Styela clava: one gene and its partner. Each later gene encodes a partner of the first gene's protein in a complex. Links are inferred from orthologs where the notes say so. Each region holds a gene or a part of one and is shown on either strand. Other genes may lie near its edges.

What was found.
Region 2: ubiquinone biosynthesis protein COQ4 homolog, mitochondrial-like (region 1) and NADPH-dependent 3-demethoxyubiquinone 3-hydroxylase, mitochondrial-like share a complex: the UniProt entries of both Caenorhabditis elegans proteins name them as parts of the multi-subunit COQ enzyme complex. The link is inferred for Styela clava from reciprocal best matches to the Caenorhabditis elegans genes coq-4 and clk-1.

What each region holds. Positions count from the first base shown.
Region 1 is NC_135256.1:11,735,480-11,746,763, forward strand, and holds the start of ubiquinone biosynthesis protein COQ4 homolog, mitochondrial-like, read right to left. Parts: upstream 4,595-11,284; 5' UTR 4,555-4,594; coding exon 4,455-4,554; intron 3,638-4,454; coding exon 3,438-3,637; intron 3,280-3,437; coding exon 3,171-3,279; intron 2,789-3,170; coding exon 2,686-2,788; intron 1-2,685. Other genes in the region: dual specificity protein phosphatase 23-like, read right to left, coding at 5,233-5,433, 5,814-6,013, 6,629-6,722; histone-lysine N-methyltransferase EHMT2-like, read right to left, coding at 8,372-11,284. UniProt on the Caenorhabditis elegans protein: Lyase that catalyzes the C1-decarboxylation of 4-hydroxy-3-methoxy-5-(all-trans-polyprenyl)benzoic acid into 2-methoxy-6-(all-trans-polyprenyl)phenol during ubiquinone biosynthesis.
Region 2 is NC_135263.1:5,459,979-5,469,391, forward strand, and holds NADPH-dependent 3-demethoxyubiquinone 3-hydroxylase, mitochondrial-like, read left to right. Parts: upstream 1-5,325; 5' UTR 5,326-5,328; coding exon 5,329-5,958; 3' UTR 5,959-6,698; downstream 6,699-9,413. Other genes in the region: 26S proteasome non-ATPase regulatory subunit 5-like, read left to right, coding at 2,794-4,308; uncharacterized protein LOC120341376, read left to right, coding at 6,743-6,830, 7,190-7,290, 7,682-7,852, 8,853-9,413. UniProt on the Caenorhabditis elegans protein: Catalyzes the hydroxylation of the 5-methoxy-2-methyl-3-(all-trans-polyprenyl)benzoquinone at the C6 position and participates in the biosynthesis of ubiquinone.

The DNA of each region.
Region 1 (11,284 bases):
AATTCAGTCTACACTCGTCTCACAATAAATTCTGTTACGTAAAAAATATAATCGTCAAAACAGCTTTTTTGTTAGTATAATCCAGTGAAGCGCTGCGGGCCGGAATATATATTACCGGCCCGCGGGTCGTAGGTTGCTGACCCCTGGCCTACATAGATATTGAAATACTGCTGTAAGACCAGGTAATTCCATGCAAAATGGCAGAAAAGCAAGGCGGCCACTAGCTCATCTGTACAAAATTATATGATAAGGTTTCGCTTGTTGCAGAAAAAATAATTTTCAATTTTTACTAAACCCAAATTTACCGTAGATCCTCGCATATAGGCCGAATTTAAACCCGAAAAAAAGTTGCCAAACTAAGGGGTCAGCTTATACTTGCATAACTCTAAAACGCACTAAAAATTCTGCTTATACGCACATAGTAAGTAAAACATAACCAGGGATGGCCAATTCGAATAAAGTATTCGAATGTATTCGAATATCTCATTATTCGAATATCGGAATTCACGTTCATAAGAATATCGGATATTTGTGTGACGTCACACATTTTCGACGCCGCTTTCAAGACGTTTCCGTTGAATGAAAACATTCTCGATAGAAACTTGCGCGCGATTGTTTTTATCACTCATCAGCGTAACGTGTTATTTAGGCCCGTGAACGCTATTACGATTGTGTTATTTTCTCTAAAACGAAAATTTTCCACAAATTTGTTCCACGATAACGATAACATTTATTTTATTTTTGTATGCGCACGGAATTGTGAATCTGGTAAATACGTTCATAGGCGGCGAGTTTCTAAAGACAACGCAACTTTTTGATTGAAAAGCGGCAATTTAAAATACTGAAAACAAAACCGTAAACAACATAAGTTTTATTGAGTCCCGCGAAAATTTAAAAAACGCTTTTCTAGGCAGTGAAAATCACAAAATTTCGTGTGCCTCTGGCACACATTATGTTTGGTCAGCGTTTAGGAACGTATCGTCACTGAGGGCGGGATTTGCCTGATTATCCATTACTTTAAATTGCCGTCAAATATTTTCGGGTTAACACGATACAAGGTTTGAAACGCGACTTTTTCCCTGGTTGTGAGAATGTTATATTATAATTATTCTGAGGTATATTCAATCAATTTTATTGTGATGAAATAAATTTTACTCTGAGATATTTTACTCTGAGCATTTCGATCGAGCGGAGTCACTGTTAACAAGTACATCTAAATATTTGCCGTATTCGCAAAATACGGATAAAAACAATATTTAATCGGACAGTTTACCTCACGTTTTTATTTTTATGGCCGCGGACTGGTATATAAGAGTGGTGAGGATTTTATTTTGTCGACGCAACCGCAGTTTAAATTGAAGACAATTAAATTAATAAGAGCAAGACATTTTAAATATGCCCGTGTTGGTCACGAATTCATCACTTTGCACAACAGAAAATTATATATTTGTTGTTATATTATTTGTTGTAAAAGTCGACTCTTTTAACAGGTGGCATAATCGCGGCGATGAATATGTATTTTTAATTTACTGCTAAACTTTATATGTATATTCATTGTATGAAATGAATTATTCTCTACACTTAACAGGATTTTATATAATTGTTTGAGATTTTTCTAACGGCAATAACGAGTTGGCAAGATTGCAAAAATACATATTAAAATTAAATACATCAAGCAGTTTATCTCGTAATTTTAGGTCACAGATTGCCGTGGACCGAATAGTAATGTTTTTTTTGACGTAAGAAGAAGCAACCGCGAGTTATGTTGGACACATTAAATTAATATACAAAGATATTTTAGAATCTCGTAGTTGTCATGGATTGAATATTTTACGTAACAGAATGATCATTATACGCTGACAAGACGGCTCTTTTAACAAGCGCGGAATCGCGGTGGGTGTTACAGGCGGCAATGAGAATTTCCGATTTTGAAAATCCCGGCTGCGCGCTGGCAGTGGTGGTCATCTATTCTCTACTAATTTATTTCTAACTCCAAACACAACAATATGTTACACATAATAACAATAAATATACTGGTAGGTAGTAGAATACTCTGGGCTTAAATATTAGAATTTTTAAAGGCAGAATGGATTTTCGATTGTTGTTGCCTGTATTGCCAATAAATTTTATTACTCTCAGAAAATTTTCACAATTATCTGAATACAAGTAGTATTTTTGTCAATTGACTCGACTGTTATCGTAATATCATGGTACCAATGATAGAAAGCGTCAGACAACTCCTTGGCTATCTTTTCATATGGTCATTTGTACAAAGTGAATAATTTTAATGAACTGACTGTGTCACAAGTTGCTATTATTTTTTAATAATAGCTATAAACTATCAATTACTTTGTGTACATATACTGTTGGTCTGTGGCTTCATTCTCATATTTCTATTGAAGCTTATTTCCTAATTTACTGGGTTTTAATCAACTAAAACAAAAATGTGTTATTTTCGATTTTAGAATGTATTCGGAATTCCAGATTCGAAAACATTATTTTAGAATGTATTCGGAATAGTTTAGTATTCGGAAATGGCCATCCCTGAACATAACAATGATGGTTATCATTCTCATTAATTCTCTTCTGCAATTTGCTGTGGTGATAGCTGCGTACAATGTATAGGGCCGGCTTATATGTTTTGTTTTTAGGAGGTCGGCTTATATGTGATGACGGCTTACTAACCTTACAGGTCCAGCTAATGCGGCTAAGTAACACATCGGTAGTCGAGTTTGTAATGCTTCAAACCATTTTACAACTATTTCACCCAGTATATTAGTTGGTTGATCTGAAAATGAGCATGTCAATAAGTCACTTTAATAATTAGAGTGGTTATTATGTGTCCCGTATTTAACTTCCAGCTGAATAAAGTGATCTAGTTAATCGATAAAGGGATTTGAATTACCATATTTGTGTGGCACACAAGTTGCTGACATTTAGATGATACATGACATTTGATGGTCAATGTTAAAAAAGGATCGCTGGTCTCTTTTACCAGAGTAGAAATGTTGTTTTGATAGGCTTATCCCTGAGTTCACAAGGCATCTAGGACCGAGATTTGGTTTATGTAAGACTGCTAGGTAGAACATCAGGAATTCCATGTGGAGGTCCTTGGTGAAAAAACTTTCAGCATCAAATTTCCTTTCTATATCAATGAGAAACACACTCACTCAATAGAAGATGATTGAAATCATGAACTTCTCTGTATCTTTGCATAACATAAGCCAGATTTTCATCATCTACAAACTTCACAGGCATCCTACTGTCTGGTGTAATTTTCTAAAATAAATAAAAAAAGAATTGTTTATGACATGCTCTCTCAAGAATATGTTCCAAATTTTTATTTTTTTGGGGGAAGGCCCCCATTATATTTGGAGTAATATCCCTGTCGTTACAACAGTTCAAAGCGTAAATACAAAATTGTATGAGGCACTCACAAATCTATCAAGAAATTCAACATATTGTTTCCCAAACGTATCGTCTTTTAAAGTCCGCAGATGATTCATATCTACTGTTGTGCTGTTTATTCTAGGTCTGGTTTCAAGTATTTCTCTTCCGACAGGATCTTTTTGCATTCTACTCAGCATGTATTGAAGAGCCTTAGTTCCTGTCACCTCACCACATACAGCAACCATGTCTACAATTGAAAATTTTTTTTTTTTTCAAAATAGTCCAATACATACAAAACTAATAAAATGATTTATCTTCATCTTTACTTGTTCGCTTAACGACAGTTGCACGTGTATTTAATATGAATGGATTTGGTTGACATGGCTCGGCGGTGTGGCGCATCGTGCCAAGCGTTAGGAATACCTTCACCACTGATTACCCTGCGTAGGTTCGAATTCTGTGCAGGATTAAATACGTGTGAGTGGATTGCTGGACTCCTCCCCGCCATGGGGTGGTTCACGGCTTCCTCCACCACAAAGTTCATGCTTTCAAAAAAAAATAACTGGCTAACTAATCACATACCTGACATGGACTGGTAATCAAACGACAGGCCATGGTTTGCCATATAACTGAGCCTTCTTATAGTCGATAAATATGTAAATCCTATATGCTATGGAGACTGCCACTCATGAATAGGTGGCTCACATAGAACCTTTTTGGCCCATCATTGCCTGCTAAATTTTCTATACCTCAACGAGATGGATAATATGAATCAATTAAAATAATTTTTTCAAGCATTCATTGAAATTAATACATTGCTACTGATGGAAGACCAAAAAAGCAATTAAAATAATTTTTTAAGCATTTATTGAAATCATTACATTGCTTCTGATGGAAGACCAAAAAAGCTATAGGATGGCTTAATCATATGTTATATTACATCTTTGTGTGTTGTTTCATGAAAATGACCAACTTTTTACCAAAATTGAACAGTTTTCAGACCCGTGTTGATTAATAAATACCCCAAATCTCAAGCTGAAATATAAAAATTGAATGAATCTCACCATGTCTGTAAGGATTACTCAATGATGCAACGGCAGATCCAACAGCAAGTAACGACTTTTGAATATATGATGTAGTTATATGACCAGTATACAGTGACATTGTTTCATATCATACCTATTTAAAATTTGCTAATTTCTATATCAATCAAAATGTAACAATTATTGCTATGTTATAATTCAAGTTAAATATTTCATTTAAAAAAAAACTCCGAACAAAAACTTGAATATGAATAATATATGAAATATATACTAAAGAGTATGAGATGGGACAAAACAATTGCAGAATTTCACACACAGAAATACCAGTAGATGCAAATTATAGAAATAATTTGAAACAGTAAAGTGATATTCTACAGTTATTGCACCGTTATTTATAGGTAAATTATTAACACTCATAAATTTGCTGATGTATTTGTTTGATTATAATGTATGCAACGATGCTTACAATCTGCATCATAAATCAATTGATTATTCACATGCAGTTCAAATATGACCTATCACACAGACAATAGCTCAGATTTGAAATGATATTCCTGTATGATGTTAGGAACTTCTCACATGACTTCTTTACTTTGAACTGCTTTATATTCCATTTTACAAAATTTATCTTCAACAACTACGTGTTACGAAAACCCATCTAATATATAAGTCTAACAACTTCTAATTATTAATTTTGATTAGAGAACTTTTTGATAAATATTATGATTCGAGCAGTATTTTAAATCATACATATCCAATAACATTAATTATAATAGAGATAGACAGTTGAATAAGATAATCAATCAGTTGCAGTTTCGTTCAAATGCTTGTAATACATTTCTATTGCTTTTTCTTGCTCGACTGTTTCAACAGATCCTGGCCTCAATTTCCTGATTTCGTCCAGCGCTTCTTTAGCAGATATTCTTTTTTGTTTTAATAAATAGCATGCCAACATTGTTCCAGTTCGTCCATTGCCAAGAGCGCAGTGTGTAACTACCGGCTGTCAGGTTTAAAAAATACTCGGATTAGAACTCATAGGTGTTTTTGAAGAAAAGTTTGCAAGTTTGTATAATAAAGTTAATTTTTGAGTTTGAACAGACACATTGTTACAACACTACCAGTCTACTGTGTAGATGACTCCATCCCTATTTGAAAAAGCTATTTTTTCACATAAAAATTTTGTACTCTGAAAAATCCAGAAATACAATGTCCAAATACTTTTCTTCACAATATTGCAGTAATTGGCTTATTTAATTTCGCAACTAGGCTTATTTAGGGGGTCTGATCTGCGATAAAATTATTTCAACATTTTGCATTCCATGCCATTATACCATGTCAACAAAACTGCTCTGGAAGCAAAAAACTAGAAAAGAATTTTACCTGATTACACTTTTTCCCTTCGTCGACAAGTTTTAAAAACTCATCTATCTGATCAATTGTCGGAGGATGAAAATCTTTTATTTGAATCTTAGATAATTTCAAATTCAATGATTTACTATTTTCCTCAGCTCCTGGTGGATATTGTTCCTTCAATGAAATAACATGACGAATTCCAACTTCAGTGAAGTATTTGTAGTGATCTATTCAAAATAGAGTGAATAGAAATGATCAATAACTTAATAATGCTGAACCATACATGCATTTTAGGGAAAAAAATTGTTAAATTATCTCTATTATCTACGCAACACAGGCATGACAAGGGAGTAAGAAACGTAGTGAATGGTTTTGGAAAACTTTTGTGTCATGTGCACATTTTGGTGCTCGTAGTATGTGTACCAAGTTAGGCAATAATTTTATTCCAATTTTCCTTATTTTAGTTCTATTACGAGTTCAGGGACTAGCCAAGTGACTCCCATAGTTTTTGTACCTGAAATTATGGCCTAACTCTAACCTGGTACACATACTACGTTCCGGTGTCTGTCATCTTGGTATGCATACTTTAGGAGTACCCACATTTTTACTGAATTATGTTACGACTGCAAAAAATTTTTTCTCTCATTTCTATACGAGATGTATGCCCATTTTGCAGCTGAAAATAAATACCAAAACATACTTTATCCTAGGAATATAAGCACCAATGCAATGCCAAGCAAGTACGTTCCCAATATGGTGAACCTTACCCCTAGCAGATCACAGAGTCATCATCATTGACATTTTCAATTTTTTTTATAGTTGTCGCAATCCTTATTTCTTACCTAAATTTCCTGGGCATCCACATCCAGCCAGAAAACCTTCATCGACCCATGAGAAGTTAGGAGGTGGAGCATTTTCATGATTGCGGAATGCCATCAGATGATTAGATTGTATGATGTCAGTAGAAAATATTACTCAATGCCGAAGGCCACAAGATATATTTACATATACTATTAAATGACTATGATATACCTTAGAACAAAAGAATTCAACAAATGAGACTTGCTTGAAATAAAAAAAAGCAAGAGCAGAAAAAAAGATGAAAAACTGTACAATAATTATGATTTAAAGATCTATAAGATGGTAACGGCTTCAAAAAGTACTAGCATATATGACTGTTGATCTGTATTGAATCATGAATTAAACATGGACACATAATGTGTAATTGCTCTTCTAACAAATTTCCTAGCAATATTGTGATATACAGTGGACGAAAAGGGGTCAAATTAGCTAATTATGCTTTAGTTAGACCAGGGCTCTTCAAACTGGGGGTGGTCACTAGCTGGCTCAATGGGGTTTGCGGTAAAAACTTTTTTGACACCAACTTAGGTTAAAACAAAATATTGATCAAATTTGAAAGATTTGAAACCAGTATGAAGACCCACAATCACCGAAATATAGCAAAAACTTGATCTTTTTTGCGAGAATATTAGTCTCAACGATATTGTAAATTTGGGTGCTTCTGAAGTATGCGCACCAAGATGTCGCATAACCTGAACCCTAACCTGGTACACAACCTGAGTTCAGGTTGGGCGCCATCTTGGTGCGCATACTTCAGGAGGTCCTAACTTGTTTATTCATTCTCAATATTTTCTGTATTATTGAATAATACTGAATTAGTGAATAGTAAAATTTGACCATGCCAAGATGAAAAAAGTATTGAGTATTATGTTTGTTTTAAAACAAACAACCATATTAAGACCTCAAATATTATTTCCAAAGATTATTGCTACAATATGCACAATCAAAATTGCCTTCAAAAAAATATTTAATACAAAAACATGTTTTCTGCAGCAGCAAAAAACTGAAAAATAATTGTCTTCCGTTGAAGGATTTCAGTTCTATTGCAAATTACTTGATTAAACCAAAAATTTGTGTCCTTAAGTTTAATTAAGCAGCTCCAAGGATTTAAATAGCTAGTTATCAAGAGCCTTGCTGAGGACAAGCCTTGTTCTGCTTCTGTGATGACTAAATTAATTGAATTATTCGAGGCATAATGGAAAAGTAGGGATTATTTTTCAAATAAGAAAAGAATTACAGTAAAATACAGTAATCATATCCAATTTCAAATTTGAATAGCATACACATACTTCTATTAAAAGTGAGACAAGTATTGCACCGTAATCTAAAATTCAGCGTAAAATTGAGGTCACGCCATAATTATATTCTGATTTTCCTTTTTTATTACAAGTTCAAGGACTGTCTGTGTTAGTCAAGTGAATATACCCCCTGCCCATAGATTTCAGTCCCTTTACACAACTTTATGTAAATTAGGCGAACAAAATTAGTTACCTTCATATTGGTACACACACTTCTGGAGCCCCCAATGATATACTCTATTAGTATGACTGTGAAATACCTTATTTCAAAAAAGCTAAACATCAAATTTGAATACACAAAAATATATGCCAGGAGAGAAAATCGAAAATATTACTTGAAGGTATTGGTAACAGAGTTCAATTCATCTGGATTTTCTCGGACTCATTTGACAATACATTTACTATGTAGTGACAGTCTGAACAAGATCATATATCATCCATTTCCTTTCTTTTTCTTCTGTATGCCTTTTCTGAAAATCTACATTTGGTTGCACCACATTCACATGTGAAATTTTCACATTTTTCATCCCAGAATCCAGAACCATAATCAAAGCACAGCTGTTCACCTACTGCAATATCTTTCATGGCAAAAAAGGCAATTCGAGGAAAATTACTATCTTGATGATCGAAAAAGAAACGAACTGGAACCAAATTTGGCTCACAGTGATGATTGAGGTAGCGTGATACATTTCCATAAGATCGTCCATCGATACAATAAGAGCCACCCGGTTTATTATCAAGATCAAACAAGTAGAAGTCATCATCACGAGCGTCACCATCAGCAATGACCTCACCAATGTATTCACAAACAAATGATCCACGTGGGATTGGTTCTAATGCTCGAACACCCCAGCCAATATTAGGAGTTCTAAATACTTGAATGCGGAACCTTACACCACCATTTTGAATTACCCGATTCCTGCAAGATCGGGAGCACTTACATAATGGGTTACATTCATAAATAAAAGGTGGATTTTTGAAATTAAATGAAGGCAATAATCGACCAGATGCATCATACCAACATTGTCCACTTTGTTTTCCACACTCACATGATGTGCAATCCTGTGTGCATTTGCATGAAGTCATGGTAGGCATAATAGCATTTACATTTGTGTATTTGTAAATATTTTTGGAAATGTATAAAAATTCATGAGGTGGACTGACAGGACATGGAGCTTCATCAACAGCATTAATGCATGAGATTGCTATATTTTCTTTTCCTCTTGATATATCAGCTGAAAGTAATCGTTCACGATCAAGTGGTTCAAAACCTTTGTGATCTGTAATTGCATTTCGCGTAGCCGCGTTCATGAGAAGTGCAACTTGGCATAATGAAGGTTCTTTTGCACATTGTGCAGGGAAGCGACCTTCATTATTCTTGATGCGGGGATTGGCACCCCATGCAAGAAGCAAAACAACACATTCACGATTGTCTTCACGAGCAGCAATATGTAATGCAGTATCACCAAGAATATTTTGATGATCTATATTGCAATTTTTTTTCAAACACATCAGTAAAATCTTTTTGTTTCCTGCTAAAGCTGCCCACTGCAAGCAAATATTACCTTCTTGGTCCACAGTATGCATATTGGCATTATAATACATCAAGCATTGAGCGGTAGATGTACGTTTATGCTCCGCTGCCCAAACTAAAGGAGTCCATCCCCCTTCATCCAAGCAGTTTATTTGATTTTTGCTGCCATATTTCATTAATGTTAGACATGACTCGAGTCTCCCATTTTTGGCGGCATGATGGAGTGGCACCATTCCTTCAGAGTCGCTATGCACCAAACTTGTATTACAAGTAATTAGATATTTGACGATGTCAAGTCTGTTTTGCTGTTCTGCATAAAAAAGAGGAGTCTTACCATCTTCATCGTGGACATTGACATCTGCACCAGCAGTAACAAGCAAATGAACAATTTCCAAGCTATCACGAGCAACAGCTTCATGCAGTGCTGTCCTCTGGTTGGAACTGTTACGAGCATTTGGGTTGCCACCTGTTCCACACAACAATTGTAGAACTTTAACAGCATCTCCTTGTTTTACAAGCTGAATTAAATTTTTCGCTTGAAATCGAAGTTTCTTTGGTAAGTCTGTTTCTAAGCTTTGAATCAAAATATCCAAGTTCTCACGATCTGGCATTAGTTTAGTATTGTCTTGAAAAAGCATAAATTCAGGAAAAGGTTTTGTGATTCCCGGAATACGAATAACACAATTAGGATAACATGATTGTTTCAACTTTTCAGGCGACTTTTCAATAATTTCTGACTGCTCTTCTTCGTATTTTTTCAGAAAATCGGCACTTGGATTAACAGAGACTTCCTGAACATTCGACATAGGGCAACCACAATGAGGACAATCCATGCTATGTCTCATTAGCACTAGACAATTTCGATGAAATCGGTGTTGATGTTGGGGAGTGCTGTTGCATACAAGAAATGTGCCACCTGCACAAAAAGTGCCACAGCCTGGACAACACTCATGTTGTAACATGCGAGCTCGATGTTCGCTGCACAATCCATGAGCAGGAAGATTTTTAGAAGCTCTCATCATGTACGGCTCAGAAACATTATTCATGCAACCAGTTAATCTGCCATCAATGTTATCGATTGCCATACATGTAATTTTGTGATGTGATGGATTAAGAACATACTGGGACTTAACAACACAAATACAGAGTGGAGTGGCACCAAGCATACTCTCCATATCATGATATAGGGTTTGCATATCAGCAGATAATGATGCAGTTCCACGAACTGTTTTATAAGTTATTTTACTGGATGGTAGATTGCTTACTTTATCAACAACACTTCCATTGTTTGGCTCTGGTGTGTTCATTTCATTCTGCAGTGAATTGCTTGAAAACATAGACGTATTTTTTGAAATGTTTTCAGATGAGAAATCAACACTAGAAATTGAATTACCGATATTATCCTCTCGACGTCTCTTAATCTCCGATTCTTGATTTGAAGAACTTGTAGCGTGTTTGCGCTTTGACTCTATCGATGATACTTTTATGTCCGATCTTTCATCGGCCTCGTTGATGTTCGAATTTGGTGTTTCTGGCCTCTTATCGCCATCAAAATCGGCTATATCAGGACTTGGAGTTATTAAATGTTCTGAGCTTCCGCTGATTTCCGAAATGGCAATTTCAGCACTGTTTGTGTGAATTGGACTATTCTCCTTTTCAGACAAACTTATATCGCTGTTCTTTGTAATATCATCATCATCATCTGAAGATATGACTATAGCTTCACTCGTGTTTGCATTTTGCAGCTCATGCAAAGATTCTGACTTAACATACAATGGGGAATTAGGATCCTTTTCAGCTTCTTG
Region 2 (9,413 bases), on another chromosome or scaffold:
AACCAAAGAGTTCTAAAAGAGCTCCTCACCGAATGGGCTGTGTCATTCTCATTTTGAGAATGACCTGTAATTAGAAAATTAAGTGTTATTTCATCGAAATGCAGCTCCTCTATAGCATAGAGTAACATCACAATCATAGCTCTGTTATTATTTTGTCCACTGCAGCGGTCACAGAAAAGTTGCACAGTCTTCACTGCTGTGGTGAGAGAGGACAGGTATCAAAACACTGCAGTCGCTATTTTACAAGAGCTTTTTCACCCTTATACTTCATTCCAAAGATAGCAACTCTTGTGCATGGACTGAATGTCAGTTACTGTAAAGTTGAAATTTTTCAGCATTTGTGTGTAGTAAAAGGAGGACACTTGTCCACAAAGACAAAGAAGAGTTTTCTGAAGGTCAAAAGCTGCCACATGAAGTGAAGAATCTGTTGTGGTTTTTTCTTTCATTTCCCTCTTCATTGAACGCACCATGTCCTTTTCTTGGATATGCTTAGTTTGATTTTCGAAATCTTCGTCAGTCAATAGAGATTTTTGCATTTTTTGAAAGCTGAAAGCATTGATCACACACATCTATTTTAGGTCGGTGAAATTTAAGATTGAATTTTTCATTGGATATGCGTAAATAAAAATCATATGATTCAACTGCAGAGCTATTTTCTTCGCACCAAATCTCATATATTTCATACATTTGTCGTACAGTCAGATACTCATGAAGATATTCCCACTGACTGTCTTTTCTCAAATAATGTGATTCAACAACTGGAAACAATTTTATATGAGTTATAAATGGCTCCTGCCTTTCCCTGGTGACTTTGTTGTGGTCACCATATCTTCCTCACATATCTTTCTCCAGTGAACCAGTGATGTTTCCACCCTTTTCTTGCTTATATTCGGGGGAATCTAAAAAAAGTTATTACACACTTGCACCAACTCGTTGCTTTCTGGATTTAAAAAAGTGTAGACTCTGTTGACTTCCTGATTACGTTTTTGATCAGTCTTAGTATCTTTTCTCGGACTGCATCTCATTTTTTGTATGTACTGAGACAATCATATTCTGGTTAGATTTCTTATCAGATGGGATATCGTAACTGAGTAAAGTCTTCTGGCTGGTTCACACTTTGCTTGGCTTTGCTTGAAAGATATATTTCCGACTCGAAAATTCCATAATTATGTAAATTTTAATAATTTAAAAACAGCAGTTGGAAAGTGGTTATGGCAATGAATAATAACTTTCTCATTCCCTCTACTGTAAACATAAAAAACAGCTAACACTGAGCTATGACTGAGAGCTGGTATGGACTTAGCGCTTTCTATTATATTTAACTCAAATTTTTGGGAGGAGCTATGTCCAAAAAACGGACTTAGCACCGACTTACAATGCAGTTATCCAGAGCTAAGTCCACTATAGCAGACACAGCTCTGTTTAGTTCTCAAATGCCCTAAAAAAAGCAGGGTTATGTCCATAGCTATCTTGAGATCTAGAGCACCTAGAGATAAGGCAAATAGACCAAAATGTAGAGCTAAGTCCAGGAAAATCAGCAGTTGGAAAATGTCGTTTTTGGGAAAAGTGGACTTAGCACTGTTTGGTTTTGATGCGTCGATATGATGGTATGAGACTATTTAATTTATGACTTCAATAATCTGTGACACCTATGTAACCCTAACTACAGAACTATGCACAAATGTTCTATAAATCCTTATGTATTTATATAATAATACATATGAACAAAACTCAAAGTGAATGTGGAATAACTGAAATAAAGTCATAACATTGCAAAACATAGTGAATAGCTCAAAACAGAGGGCAGAGGGAAACAGCAAATACCTGTTACCAGTTTTGCACAGTTTCCCTTTGTTTCCCCCTTTTTCCGCAAATAGTAAGACCCAATATGAAACAAGTTTGCATATACCCATATAATCAGTCCCATATTTATTCGTACCATGTTTATTCATAATATTGTGGCATTATATACTTTAATACTTTTTCATTGCTTTTCTCTATACTAGTATAGTAAGGTTTAAAATAGGAATCCAGTCAGAATGTCTTCTTGTGGGACTTCAACTGGCAATATTGCAAAGGAGGGAGAAGAAAAATTTGGCTACTGGAAACAATTAGTTGAAACTGGATTCGGAGGTCTTCAAAACTGGCCAAAAATGCGTCCACTGGAAAATGATTGGCAACGTCCTGGTTTAGCTTATGATAAGTGTGACATCGAAGTCATGGCTATGGAAATTTGTCGTCTGCACAATGCAGATAATCATAGACGTGTCCAGCAAGTGTGTGCGAAAGAACTTACAGACTTGATGGAATGCACATATCCTCTTAATCGATGTAAAAATGAAAAAAAGCTTATCAAAGCCAGTGCATTAGCTTTTGATCCTATACCTTCATTGCAAGCTGGATTTAATTGGAAATATTAAATTTTGAACTATTGATTCAGAGTTTCATCTAGGACTGGTCATTTATCATTAATTTTTGATTTTGCTTTAGTGTTCATATTTGATCTTTTTGAAATATAGGAGACTGTTGTAGTGTGTTTATATACCCTTGGCACGACATTTCAGATATGAATAAATATTCCTTCATTCACTTTGTAATAGTTTTTTTTGGGGTATCGTATCATATTGAGTTTATATTATAGACCTAGCTGGATTTTCATTCAGCATAGAGTAAACTCTGAACATTTTTGTAGATATATATCAGTCCTACGATTTGTCTGATTATTTTTTTTAAATTATTCTGGTTCCGATCACATTATAATATCCTTAAGTGTGTTTATCTCTAGATTTTATAATGGAAACAGTTAAATCATTATTCGAAAGACTTCAATATGATGAAAATCGTCTTGCTGCCCTTTTGGACGGAAAAACTTACTTAGTAAACGTTAAGCCCACTACTTTGAAGGGAATAATAACAGCTCCGGATATTGCTTTACTTTTTGCTTGTTTCGATACGCAAAATGTAGAACAAATTTCAGCTGTTATCTTCATATTGAAGCTATTATTGCCAATAGTTGATGTTGGGGCAAAATTGGAAGTTTTATCTCAGCATTTATGGAATGGTTTGAATCATTCCAACAGCTCCGTCCAACATTTATGTCTCGGTGAGCTTCGGGAATGCTGCGTAACAGATATAGGCAACCGTGCGTTAATGGAAGGCAAAAATGTCATTGCAAAAGTAATAGAACTCATTGGGGATGATGACATGTCAATAGCTCATTCTGCAGTCCAGTTTCTTTCTGATTTTGCGTCATATTCTATCAATGCAGCAAAATTTCTTCTTCAAGGAGAATTGCTGGAAAAGTTTCAGGCAGTGATGAGAAAGAATGATAACGTTCGTTACAGAGGATATGATGTTATTGTGAAAATTCAATCTAAATCTATTGAACATTTATCTGTTTGTGATTCTTCTGGTTTGCTTCGCAATCTTGTTAATGAGCTGATGGGAGATGATGTATTAATTAAAGTTGTCTGCGTGTCAACTTTGTCTGAAATGGCACTCAGGAAACACAGTTTGCAATACTTGAATAAGAATGGAGTTGTCAACAAATTGATATCAATGATTACAAATGTTGCCTCTGATCCATTGGCCGATTTATATATGCCAGAAATTGTGAAGTTTTTTGGAAAAATGTCGTATCAAGAAGGACCACAGCATGTTATACAAATTTTTCCACAATTTTTGGACACCTTGTTTTCACTTGTTGATGAATTTGATTTGGTGAAGAAAAAAATTGGAATTGAAACTTTGGGATTCATTGGACAAAGCATGGAGGGCAAAAATGTTCTTGCAAAGGAGGGAAACCGCACCAAAGCGGCAATTACTGAAATTGGAAAGATTATATGCACAGAGGGAAGCGATTTGAGACTGATATCTATAAATGCAATGTGCCAGTTATTGGATATAGCTCCCTTGGATCAGACTGAAGATATTGTAGCTTTATTGGCACAATGGTTTCGTTGCATCTCATCATCTCCCATTGATGCAATTTTGTTTTTATGTCGCCAGCCTTTCACAAGTGTAAAATGTGCCGGATTTCATTTGATAAAAACTATAGCGAAATTAGAGTTTGGAATGGCTGCTATGGTTGAGTTCCCCACTTTTGTGGAATTCATCCTCGATCGATCGTCTGATAATAATAAAGAATCTAAAGATGCAAGATTTGAAGCAGTAAAAGCAATTGCAGAATCTCCCCAATGCATGCATATCTTTGGCAACAATAATTATTTAAAGTTTCGTTCTTATGTTCTTGAAGGACCATTATATGAAGAGATGGTCAGTCCTGAGGTCGCAATGGAAACATCTTAAAAAATATGCTCAGTACTAGCTTGAGCTTTAAGTACACCTCGCCCTTACGATAAGGAGCTAAAGTGAACTATAATTGAGATTGAGATAATTGAGCCCATCTGAAACATTATTTTTGTGATAATTCTGTGTTTGCTTTTACGTTTAATGACCGCCTGCTATAACACCTAATGTAGTAACATTAATAATACCTTGTTATAAGGTGTTTGCTCACTTAAACTCAAAACGGGATTCGTTGCAAATTGCAAGCAGCAATTGAATGCACTGATTGTCGTGTTTCGAAAGATCAAAAATTTTATGAATCAGCATATCTGAAATGGTGACCACAGACTGCATATTTTTCATAAACTTGCTGGGAACCTGACAACTTGCAATGCTAAATCAAATATGACAGCAGGATCTATGTCATGACACTTTGGACAATAAAATATATGTTTGAAGTTTGGACATACCATGCATTATTTAATGATGGGTGATCAGTCTTATAGAAATATTGCAAATTTTGTATAAATTTTTTCGAATGTATTATCGAACACAAAGTTGATTTGAAAGTTATGTTTGGGACCAAAATTTATTTTCTTCCTATCTGCTGGATCACTCAATTTCAAATATTCGCAGTTGAAAACGAAAGTTTCTTCTTCAAAAATATCTCTTTCAATTTTGTCATATTTACTCTAGGCATTTTTTGATTTAATATGAACAGGTTTTAAAAAAAATGATGCCATGTGGCTGTGTCTTTATATTTGAACATTGCTATTTGGCCATATTTTCAAAGCTATTTATTCTGATCTTTGCGCTATATTCCAAAAGATTTTGCGGTATAATTTGCTCAAGTCGCATATAATAAAATCATCATTATTTAAGTTGCTAATACACTGCGTTTTAATGCTGCCTTTAGTGTCATAATACAGAGAATGTCTTTTGTAGCAATACGTAATCTACCGTAACTTTTATTTTAACTTTCATTTTAGAACTCCTGTTTATATCTAATGTCACATTGAATGGTTTAAATTTTCATCAGTCATGCTTCTAATAATAAATCGTGGTTGTTTAACCAAATACTGTTCCATACTGAGGAGTAGTTCGTTTTGTACCTCTTCATGCACTCGTCAAGTTAAGGATGCACAAACCAAAGCTATGTATGATAGAATGATCAGAGTCGATCATGCAGGGGAACTTGGTGCCAATCGAATATATGCTGGACAGCTGGCTATTTTACGTAAAACTGATGTCGGCCCAATCATTGAAGAAATGTGGGAACAAGAAAAAGTTCATTTAGCAAAATTTAATGAACTTATACCTAAGCATAGAGTGCGTCCCACTGTATTAACTCCAGTATGGAATGTTGCAGGATGGGTACTAGGTGCTGGAACTGCCCTTATGGGGAAAGAAGCTGCAATGGCTTGCACTGTAGCTGTTGAAGAAACTATTACGGAACATTATAATGATCAACTTCGAGAACTTTTAGCAAGAGAAGATTCCTCCGAGCATGAGGAACTTCTAAGCACAATCAAACAGTTTCGTGATGAGGAAATGGAACACCATGATATAGGAATTGACCATGATGCACTAAATGCACCTTTTTATTCAGTTTTGAAAAATGTAATACAAGCGGGATGCAAGGTTGCAATATTTGCATCTGAAAGAATTTGACATCCGTAAATGGAGATTTGAACTTATAGAAAATCAAAAGCGATAATTTATTTTTTTCGACTGCCTCCATGCTATATGCCAGACCAAAACTGAATTCTTTTTCAATTTCGTAAATTCACAAATAGTCAAATACATCGAAAAACACTGTGCAAGTTACTAATCAATTATTCAGTTACCAATCTTGGATGCATGGCATAATAGTTAATGTTCTTTTTCTAAAGTGATGCCAATAGCGAAATACTTGAGCGGAAATTCTACGAAGTTGCGAAATTATTGTATCATGATTTTAAATGCTTATAGCGATGGTTTTGCTATTAGTTATTGAAACCTAGTGTTTATAATGTGACCAAGCTCGCAATTTTAATTCAGGTAATACTTAATTGTAACCCTTTTCGATAAAAACAAACAGGAAAAGCAATTTCACTTTTTTGTCTTTATTCAAGGATGTTCCCTCAACAATCATGTAGTTAATAAATATGTTTTGAGAGTGCGAGGAATGGTAAAAAATTTGATATATAATATTTGAAGCTGATAAAATCATGCTTCTATACATCCAACAAAGTTATATACTCAGTTGGCAGTTGGCGCATTACAAATAATGTAATACTGGTATTCAAATCTACTTCAATTATTTTATTAATTAATATAGTTTCTCGATGTGAAGTAACACTGCGATCACTTTTATAAATGTGAAGTAACACTCCGATCACTTTTAAATTTCTTTTTGCTTTCCTTTTTAGCATATTATTTAAGATGGTTATATTTGTACGTATTGATATGAAATATGGAAGATTCTGTGGATTCTAATATTTTGTTGGTTGTTCCATCATCTATTGAGGACAGTGTTCCTGTTGGTGGAGACAATCCACTAGGTATTTACTAAATATTTAGATCAATTTTATTTCTTGCTCTTGACTGAACAATGTTTTCATCCTGTCTACTAAATATTAAAATAGGGCATGATTACTATGAGGTATACCTACTTTTGTCAAGGATATTATAGAACACAACCTTCAACATTAGCCAATCAATGTAGTTTGTCAATGTTTCGGATTTCCGTACACAAAATTTCACTCTTTCAAGACGAGGACTAGAAATTCTCTCGCACATAATTATGGTGAATTAAAGCAGTTTGCCTAGATCTGTTTGTGGTTTCAATACGCTGTCTATTGTCAGCTGTGTCAATGACTTCTTTATGATTTATTCAAATATGATAAAATTTACTTGTCAGGAATTTCAAGCAAAACTCTTCATCCAGCAACTGCTTCTATCTCAATTGAAGCTGGAACAGACTCATTCTCCTGTTTCCAACTGTCTGGAAGAGAGACTCAGGTATAGCATCTTATTTTATTTGATCACAATTCGATAAAATTTTTCATCAATTACCTGGCCAGTTTCAAATGAAAAAACATGTTTCTGGTACTTTTTATGAATGACCGCATGGTTTCATGTTTTAAACCTCAGTCAAGGTTTTAGCCACACCTCATAAAGCTCCAAATTTTGTATCTTGTGCTTTTTTATATATTGTGTGATTTGAATCTTGGAAGCAAACATTATATATGTTTTGTCGTACAGCACTCGAGGAAGATTTATTATAAATACTTAAAAAATGTGTTTTGTACATGAGCTTTTTGTTTCAGTCGTTATTCCACTATGACAAATGTAATTTTGAGATAGAGATTTCATAAATTGTGAATATCATATTCCTATTTTTTTATCCAAGGATTCAAAGTCAGAATCTTCTGAAAGTTTACATATTGATGAAAGAGATGTAGACATTATACCTCAATCCCCTAAAGAATTGCATATCGAATTGAGTGATACTCCAAGTGCTCATTCGAATTCTAACACAGAACCTAACGATTCTTATCAGAATTGCGACTGTCTCGACATGGTGGGTTATTTTTCTTATTTATATACGATTCCTGTTCAACCCAAATAAGGCCTAGTACTCACTGTTGTCTACCAATATGTGAGGAGCTATTATTTGGAAAGACCAGAATCTTTTCGGTTCGGTCTACCCTATTCAGTCGAAGACTACTTCATCTTATGCTAGGGTTGTGCAATGAATCTAACCTAGCTTGCATATGTGATCACAGCTTCATTGGCCCGCCGCACATTCGGAGAGTAATCAAAAAATAGCATTTCATGTTGTTTTATGTCTTTTTACATATTGTTACATCACTAATGTCACTGAATTGACTAGTGTTATGGCTAGTTGAGGCAACTAGCGAAGTAGAATGATGTGCTTTGCTTGGAAGTCTAAATTATTATCTGGCTTTCTATCTTTTTGGTCGGGAATATATGCTAACAATAGAAAATCTAATGCGGATTCTATTAGCCTTGGATGGCTATATCTGATAACTATGTGTTTGCACAATAAAAGTTTTGTTTTTTATTGCACTGTTTACCTATTCTTGGCACTATTGTGGCCCGCGAGCAATGCAAAAATAATTTTGTGGCCCGCGGAGCTGGCAGCCTTGACCACCCTGGTCTATCTTATTCAGTTGAAGACTACTTCATCTTATGATAGGGTTGTGCAATGAATCCTACCTAGCTTGTGCAAGGATATGATTTCAACTCCCACAGTAAATCTATAATTTGTTCATCACAAACAGGGGGTGGTTTTGGGGGTCGAAAACCCCCCTCACCCTTTTGAAATGTCAAGAAAAGTAAAAGCATGTTTCTGTATCATACATAGCAATTTTTCGTAGCTTGAAGCACTCAAGACTCATGTACTCGCACGTTTTTCGATGTTCGGCCGGACCCGCTAGTTGTTTCGATCTAACTAGGCAAATAGAAATAGAGTGTTTTGAACGATGAGACAATAAATGATACAGGCACGGTTTTATGTAATCGAAATGGCTTGTAAAAATTTATTTTTTTATTTTTAGGATTCGGGGAAAATGTCTCCTGATTTGATGGCATCGAGTGAAGGATCACTTTCTTCATCAAACCCTGTTATCACGTCACAACCTGATGAGTATGTTCAACAAGCTTTTCCAAGCCTGGAATTTACGTCGCCAAAGTCACAGTCCCAGAGTCCTACTTTACAACCCAATACTGTGAATCCTTATGAAGCGGACACAGAATCATACACACCATCTGACTTCCCTCCTCCAGCGAATCTGGAAGAACCGAGTCGCTTTTCAAACTTTTTAGGGACTTGTGCAATTGAGGACAATGGTCCTTCCCCAATCATACTAACAGCCAATACAGAAACCAATTCTGAATTGAAAGACAATAATTCAGATTTCATCAACAAAGAACTTCAGGAAAAAGGTGACCAGTCTTGTGAAAAAATAAACAATTCAACAATGGAAAATGGGAAAATACCAGCAGAATATGATCTTGATTCGAATGATATAATTATTGAAGATGTCAACATGAGAAAAATTGAAGATGATGAAGCAGTCAATAAGGAAACAGATGAGGAGACTGCTCATGATAATGTC